Linked DNA regions of Callithrix jacchus. The protein of the gene in region 2 binds, or shares a complex with, the protein of the main gene of each other region. Links are inferred from orthologs where the notes say so. Each region holds a gene or a part of one and is shown on either strand. Other genes may lie near its edges.

Evidence for each region. Proteins that work in one complex are often made in the same cells at the same time.
Region 1: GTF2A1 (region 2) and POLR2B share a complex: the UniProt entries of both Homo sapiens proteins name them as parts of the TBP-based Pol II pre-initiation complex. The link is inferred for Callithrix jacchus from reciprocal best matches to the Homo sapiens genes GTF2A1 and POLR2B.

What each region holds. Positions count from the first base shown.
Region 1 is NC_133504.1:139,754,733-139,758,126, reverse strand, and holds the end of POLR2B (DNA-directed RNA polymerase II subunit RPB2), read left to right. Parts: intron 1-1,430; coding exon 1,431-1,626; intron 1,627-2,114; coding exon 2,115-2,204; 3' UTR 2,205-2,692; downstream 2,693-3,394. Other genes in the region: IGFBP7 (insulin-like growth factor-binding protein 7), read right to left, coding at 2,855-2,874. UniProt on the Homo sapiens protein: Catalytic core component of RNA polymerase II (Pol II), a DNA-dependent RNA polymerase which synthesizes mRNA precursors and many functional non-coding RNAs using the four ribonucleoside triphosphates as substrates.
Region 2 is NC_133509.1:116,181,921-116,186,783, reverse strand, and holds the start of GTF2A1 (transcription initiation factor IIA subunit 1), read left to right. Parts: upstream 1-1,713; 5' UTR 1,714-2,154; coding exon 2,155-2,184; intron 2,185-3,116; exon of another isoform or gene 3,117-3,190; intron 3,191-3,960; exon of another isoform or gene 3,961-4,144; intron 4,145-4,863. UniProt on the Homo sapiens protein: TFIIA is a component of the transcription machinery of RNA polymerase II and plays an important role in transcriptional activation. TFIIA in a complex with TBP mediates transcriptional activity.

The DNA of each region.
Region 1 (3,394 bases), on a different chromosome or scaffold from region 2:
GACGTCCATAGACCACACTCTGAGAACCTCTGCCCTAAAAGATTAGGACATTAAACCTAACCACAGTACCTCCTTAATATTGGTTTACATTTCCCTGATTATCACGTAAGTTTTTTTTAAAGGTTTGTGGTTTTAATCAGTATACAAATAAGATCCATGCTTTGTGATTGATTGATACATCTCTTAAGCCTTTTTTTGAATTCGTTGGTTGCCCTCCAACCTTTTTTCCCCTTGTAATTTATTTATTGAAGACACTGGACTGTATCTGGGTCTTCAGACTGAATTGTGCTGATTGTATCCCAAGTGCTCTGCATTGCTGTTTTTATTTTTTTTTGTAAATAGTTAGATCTTGAAGCTTGAGATTTAGGGTTTGAGTTTTTTAGCAGTAATACTTCCTAGGTGGTATTCTATATTTCCAGTATCTCCTTGCCTTTCTTTTTATGATTTTAGCAGCTATTAATGATCACTTCTTTGAAGACCTTAATTAAATAGGGATTACAAACTGATGCGATTCTATTTTTTCTCATTCCTTTTTCAGTTTTTAGTCAGGCTACTTCTAAAACTTTGTTTCCTCAACTGTTTGGTTACCTAATGACATAGTTCCTATAGTAAGGGCAGGAATAAATGCTTGATTCTCTTTATTTACCGGTTTTCAAAACAATGAGTTCATTGTCTAATGATCCAAATCATTGGTCCACAGTTAACCCATGATTTGTTTTGGTGGAATATCATTATAAACCCATTGGTATTACTTTATATATTTAGGATATTAAGTATGTTAAGGAAGCCATCACCATCTATTTGCCTGGCAAATAATGCATTTTACTTCTTATGTTGGGGAAACCTATTATTTACCTGTTCTTTCTGTTACTTCCGCCAACATGTATTTATGATTTCAAGGCTGATTGCCTGGGAAACTCGTTCCACTGACAAACTGCTTTATTTAGATTGTCTTTTTTATTATTCATTTTTTGGTATAGAGTTGAATTCTAGAAAGTTAAATGATAGCATGATGAACCTCCACTCTGTGCTTTATGCTTCATTGTATCTGGTGAGGAAAATTAAATGCTATACTTAAGAATCTACTGTGCTACTGCATTTGGGGAACCTTCTTTATGTTTTTTAAAAAAAAGAGATGGGGTCTCACCCTGTTGCCCAGGCTGATCTTGAACTCCTGGGCTCAAGAGATCCACCCAGCTCCGCTTTCCAAAGTGCTGGGATTACAGGCGTGAGCCACTTCGCTTAGCCCATTTGACTTTCTAATGCACATCAAATAGTTGGTAGATTTCTCCTCTACCAGGGTATAGGGTATAAAAATTAGACCCTAGTTCTCCTTCTTTGCAAATATTATTCTTCACCTTTGCCATTATTCAAGGCAGTGTTTGTAATAAAAAATAAGTATAAAGTAATAATTTTTTTCCTCTTAACAGTGATGGTGGTCTGCGTTTTGGAGAAATGGAACGAGATTGCCAGATTGCCCATGGAGCAGCCCAGTTTTTAAGGGAAAGATTGTTTGAGGCATCAGATCCATATCAGGTTCATGTTTGCAACCTTTGTGGAATAATGGCGATTGCCAACACCAGGACCCATACATATGAATGCAGGGGCTGCCGCAATAAAACCCAGGTGGGTATAGACTTCACTGGCAGTTGATATTTGTTTAGAGGAAACTCTGTTGGTCTGATTATCCAGGCAGATTTAGTGTGGTAGAACAGATCAGCATTTTCACAATTTTGATAGCATGCCTCTGTAAGATTTCTAGTTCTAAATAAGAAAAAAATAATTTGATGTTTCTAAAAACCAGTTTAGGTTTTAGTGTGGTAATTTCTTTAAGCTGTTCATCTTTTGGAAATAAAACTTTGTACAAGGGATTTTAAACAATGAGTTTTTAAAAACCTTTTAGTTGAGGTGGGTGAATATAAATTATGTCTGGCAGGAAGGGTAAAATACCAAGCGTACTAGGAGAAAGAACCATCGTAAGCCGAGGTAGCAGAATGCGTGTTCTCAGCTCCACTCATTTATTATCTGCAGTACCAGACCTTTGCTTTCTCGGGTAGAGAAGTGGGGTGACTTCAACATAGTTCTGCTAATTGCTATTTGTTTTTTCTTTTCAGATTTCTTTGGTGCGAATGCCTTATGCATGCAAACTATTGTTTCAGGAACTTATGTCTATGAGTATTGCACCACGAATGATGAGTGTTTAGCTATTTTACAAGACACGACAAGATACTTAAAAATATCTTGGTGTTAGGGCCGGGCGCGGTGGCTCAAGCCTGTAATCCCAGCACTTTGGGAGGCCGAGGCGGGTGGATCACAAGGTCAAGAGATCGAGACTATCCTGGTCAACATGGTGAAACCCCGTCTATACTAAAAAATATACAAAAAATTAGCTGGGCATGGTGGTGCATGCCTGTAATCCCAGCTACTCAGGAGGCTGAGGCAGGAGAATTGCCCGAACCCAGGAGGCGGAGGTTGCTGTGAGCCGAGATCGCGCCATTGCACTCCAGGCTGGGTAACAAGCGCGAAACTCCGTCTCAAAAAAAAAAAAAAAAAAAAAAATCTTGGTGTCTTGTTTCTATTGTGTGGCTTTTAAAAAATGACAAATATGTACTGTGTTGTGATAAAAAGTTTTATTTGTTTAATGATACGCATGCTTTTCTTTTGTAAATATATAATAAATTTTTGTAGATAAGTCTTGATGTGTGATCTTTATTTTGTATCTCTCTATGTAAAACCAGTGAATATATAACTAAAGTGTTAGTGGATTGGCGTAAAAGAAACTTATTAGGCAAGAACAGGTGTTGTAATTACCCATGACTACTTTTAACCATGCAGACTAATGTATTCTGGAGGTTTATAGCTCGGCACCTTCACCTGTTTAAAAAAAGAAAAAGATAAAAATTAGTTACATCTAGGGATGTGGCTGACTTTCGAAATGTCAGGTAGTTAAGTGTTTCCAAATAAATGAAGACGTTAAAATGTGGGGAAAAGAAGATATGAGTATAAACGACATGCCGGAGTGCTCTGTGGAACTTGAGTTACATGACTTGAGCTATGAAAGGCAATTTTGCTTTACTGGGTGATGCATCAAAGGTACATCTTACTACAGAACTGGAAGAGCACATTTCACAAACGACCGAGTTGAGATTCAGAGAGGTTAAAGACTTTCCTTTGTAGTCCAGATCTCCTTCAAAATGTAAAGTGGAGGAATAATTAGTAGCAGAGCTAGACTCAAACGCATGGCTTGACCCTTAGCTACTGCTCTGTTTCATCGCCTGGCATTATACATTATGGCTGAAGAGAATCTGACCAAATACTTCTTTACTTAATATTTCTTTTCATATCACAGCAGAGTGATCTGCACAGTGGAATGGTTTGACACATGCTGACAGTT
Region 2 (4,863 bases):
GCAAATCTCATAGCTTCTCTTCCATGTCCAGGGCAGTGGTTTCAACCTTAATTGATGGCAAAACTACTCAACCATTTATCAAGAATACGAAGTGGTAGGGGAGAAAACTAAGTGGAAGGTGAGGGATTCCATGTACAAAGCGTTTGGGAGTATGTATATAGGGAGGTAACAAGAAGTCCTCTCAATATGCAGTAAAATTTACCAGGAATGGTATTGTTTAGTGTAACTTTACAATTGGGCTATCACCTGAATATTAAATAAATCACAAATGTTGATTGAATCACAATTTTACATTGCTAAGAACACTGATTTCCTGTGATTTTTTTTCTTTAAGTGTTCCAGACCATGCAGCTGTGCAGGTAACTGGAAGTAATTGTTAAGAGGGGAATGGATTTGGTGTGAAAATAAATCTCAAGGTTCATAGATATTCTCCACACCCATTGATAATCTCCCATTTTCTGCGTATTAAAGGCCCCTGCTTTCTCTAATCCCTTTCTTCAGGTGTTGGCAGGCTGCATTTTTTTTTTTTTTTTCTCTTTGGTAAGATGCCTTTGACATTCTTCAAATCTGGTTTCACCAGCAAAGAACTTTTCGTTTTGCTCTGTCTTTGGAAGACAAACTCCTTCACTCATCCAGATGACATTTCAGGTCCCTCAAAATTCCAGGGGCTCCGTTCTGCTTGTAATGTTGATATAAAGGCAGGATTTGTTTGGACAGAGGAGGTCAAAAGCTTATTGGATTGCACTTCAAGACACGGGCACAGCCGCCGTGCTCTCTTATAACTAGAGGCCAAGCGATTTGGGTCAAGGGCATGTGTTTCAATGTGATCAGTCACTACACGTTGGCCATGCGGAGTAGTGGGATTTTGGCAGTATTTTTTAAAACCAGGGAAAGTTATTGTGCTGTTATAATCCAAAGGCTGGTGGGGTTGTCTCCCCTACTCCCCGCACCGCATTTCCACCACCGTGACAAATTATTTAAAGTACGTGGGCTAGTAGGGAACTAATCTCTGGGTAACCTAAGTAAGCCTGGTCTTCGTAGCGGACCCAGTGTGGAAACAAACCAAGTCAGAGGTTAGTAACTCTGGAATGTGAAAGTGGGCCCCAATCGGCTTTTACTCCCATTGGGAAATTCTACATAATTCTGCCCGCGAAAGACCCACCCTCGGCGAGGAGCGAACGCTCCGAGGCTCACAGTCAAAGCCTCGCTGACAAATCAAGAGATGACTCCGCATTTAAAACCGTCCCGAATCGGAACCCGCCAGAGGCCGGAAGCCGCACCACGTGACCAGTTCTCCGCGGCCATTCCTAGCGAGGCAGTCGCTACCGCTTGTCTCATTTCCTAGCTCCTCCAGCGCGGGACCGGGCGGAAACGTGCGACAGGAGGCGGTCCCACCTAGCTTTGGACTGGAATGTCACTAGAACTCGCGCCTTTTCCAGAAACGCTTTGCAAGTACTTCACCGCAAAGAACTGCGGCAGACTTCCGCCTGGGTGCCAACCACGTGATCACGCGAGAGTTGGAGAGGCGTAGGTCCGACTTCACTACTTCACTACCCAAGCTCCGCCAGTCGAGCACCCCCACCGCGCGTGACGACGCGGCTCGCGGCGGCCTCCGCCCCGACGCGCCTGCGCACGCGGCTCTCGCGGTGTCTCGCGCTCAGCCCCGCCCACCTCTGCCCCCGCCCTTTCCACCCCTCCCTCCCCCATCACCCTGTCTCTCAGCGGCGGCGGCGGCGGCGGCGGTTCGCGCAGCTTGTTGGCTCGCTATATAAAGGAGAGAAGCGAGCGGACCGGACGGCTGGAGCTGCAGCCGGTGGCAGCAGCGGCGGCGCAGGGAGCGGTGACCGGTGGTGGTTTCCCTCCTTGGCGCGGGGTGGGGAGCGGGCAACGCCCCCGGACCCCTTAAGGGTCGTGGATTTTTTTTTAAAAAGACGATTCTCGAGGTTTTTAGCTGCGGGAGGAGTGCCCCCCTCCTCCTCCTCCTCCTCCTCTCCGCTCTCCCCTACTCCTTCAGGATTGATTTTGTTTAAGTTTTTTTCCCCAATCTTGCGGTGACTTGGGTCACCCTCGGGTGTTTTAGTATTTTTTTTTTTTGGTTTTGTTTTTATCTTGTTTTCTTGGGGTTGCCCCCTCTTGTTTGTGTTGTGTGTGGAAATGGCGAACTCGGCAAATACAAACACCGTGGTAAGGACGTGGTTCGGTGGCCGGCGGGGGCTTCGTTCAGGCGGCAGCAACGGCCGGACCGGGCGGGGGCGGGGACGGCGGCGACTCCCGGCCTCGACTCTTCAGCCGCCCGCGCGGCCGCCGCCGCTGCCGCCGCCGCTTCCCGCCTCGGGCGGATCGGGCCGGGGCGGCGGGCGGCGGGCGCGGGGGGGCGCCGAGGGCTCGCGGCTCGGGGAGGGCGGGGGCGCCGGCGGGGCCTGGGGCCGCCGCGGGCCGGGTCGGGCCGCGGAGGCGGTTGGGCCCGGGCGGGCGCGCAGCCCCGGCCCCAGAACCCGGCCCCCGGGAGGGAGGGCGTGAGGGGAGCCGCCGCTTCCCCCCGAGGGGCCCGTCCGCGCTGGCTAGACGATGGCTCCCCGAGCGGCTTAAGAACAAAAACCGTGTCTGGGGAATCGGGCGAACCCCTGAGACCCACCGTGATCCACTTTAATGCAGTGGAGGATTAATGGCTACTTTTGGGGGTTACTTAGGTTTTTTCCTGGCAGTTGTGCTTTGGGAACCTTCACTGGGGCCATTTTATGTTTAAAAAAAGGACTAAGGTTGTTTGAAAAGCACTTATCTCAGTTCCTTCCGAATGGGTAAAATGGCGAAGGGGAAGCAACCCCCCCCCCATCGTATCTTCGACTAGCAAAAGCACCAAAACAAACAAAAAAAGCCTACAGTGGTCCAAGTGTCCCTGCTTTCGCCTTGAAATTTGCCTACTTCTTCCCGTTGGTCCCTTTTTGGTTATTTGCGATCACGTAGGTTTGCAAAAAGCAGTCACATAAATAACCTTTTCAGTCACCAACGCAATGTGATCACTAGTCCCCCCAACTCTTATTTTTATATGACAATAAAACACGTTTTTGCCCGGTCCCAAATGCCGCAGACTAGCCCGCGGCCGCCCGACACCGTACCGTTGGCGACTCGGGTCGATCCATCATGGCTGCGGCCGCTTACCCTGCTTTTCAGTCCCTGAGCTTTGTGGTCCTCCTCCCTTTGGCTGCCCTGTTTATATAGAGCCATTGCCGCTCTCTAATATAGACTCTGCCAGGATGGGTAGGTGCTTTTCAGGCCTACGTCACCGCCTCTCCATTTAAACACCAGATCCGGCTTTAAATAGTGAGAGCTGCTGAGAGCGGGGCTGGGAGGTGCGTGCTCCCGAGGCGAGAGCCAGGCGCGTGCGGAGCTCAGTTTATTTGTAGGTCCTTTTTTCACGCTGTAATTTCGCGCCTGTCGGGGGCTGCTTTCAGAGCCCCAAGTTTTTGTTTTGTTCCTAGCAGCAGCTAGGAATTACCTTCTTTTGTTTGTTAGGGGAAATATATCCGAATCGCTGTCCGTTTTTATTTACAATTTTCAAAATATGAAAACAAAGAATTTTTGATCAGATAGTCTAGTGATTTTCCTGTGTGCATTATTTTCAGGAATTAAAAAAACTGCTTTCTACAAAGTGTTAGCTGCAGAGGACTTGGTTTTTGTTGTATTTTGTTCAAATATTCAGGAAACAGGTTAGAAATACAGCTCCTAATATTTCATTATGTTTTTCTATAGTAAATCTAAAAGACACGAGGCCTTTCAGAGAAATAGATAAGTGCCTGAAGCTTCAGAATAGGACCATTTATGTGTAGGGGAATCGTGAGTAATTAGAGGGAAGAGACTTAGTGCAAACTGGATTTTAAAAAACTGTTAAGTAGAACTTTATCGCCTTGGATATTATTAACACAGTATCCAGTATAAAAATTATTTCAATTTATTTTTCAGCATTGCATCAGGGAATTAACATTTTTGAAGGAAACCTCCTAAGAAATCACTTAATAATGCCACTAGTGGCCCTCTGATAAACCAGTTTTCAAGTTTGAAATACCTGTCTTTTTAAAAATCAGGACAAACCTAAACTATTTCGTGAGAAACGGAAACTTTGACTCAATAGAGTGAAGAATTTTAGGTACTAGTTTATAAATTGCTTATTTCAAATAATGCCTATGTGCCCACATAGTTTTCAAAAATTCGTGTCTTGAGTGCTTTTCAAATTGTGAACAATTCTAAATTATTCATTGGGCATATACTTTGTGAAGCATACACGTTTCCCTTCTTTAAACTATAGTGCTTATGAAGCTGTTAAGTGATCAAGTTGTGAGTTCATTAAGGCACAAAAATAAAATCTTAAAGAATGATTCATTAAGTAGAGGAGTACCAGAAGAAAGCAAATTTATACCTATATATCTCTGGATCTCCAAGCAAAAGGTTTTTAGAGGTAACTGATTTGAGGAACACCACACCATCTAGTTTACTGAAAAGCATTATGTATTGTCAATTTGAGATTTATGCTCCCAATTTAAAATACATTGCCCTTCTAATGCCTTGAGGAGTCATTATTGATTAAAAAACAAAACACTATAGAGATACTTTTGTAATTCAGCAGTTAAATTAATTTAGTTAAGATGATGTCCATAGTCACATATACTTTCCTTATATGTAGAAACAGAATGAATGTTAAAGCAGGGACGATAGAAATGTTCATTTTGCAGATGAGTAATTTAAGCTTCAAGAGGCAGATTGGGCGAAATAAAGAGGTTAGTGAGTGAGTGGAACAGTAAAGCAAGAACCCAGATATTTGAATTGGTTTTCTTTTAATGAGAAGGAGTGAATAGTTTTTAATGGTTG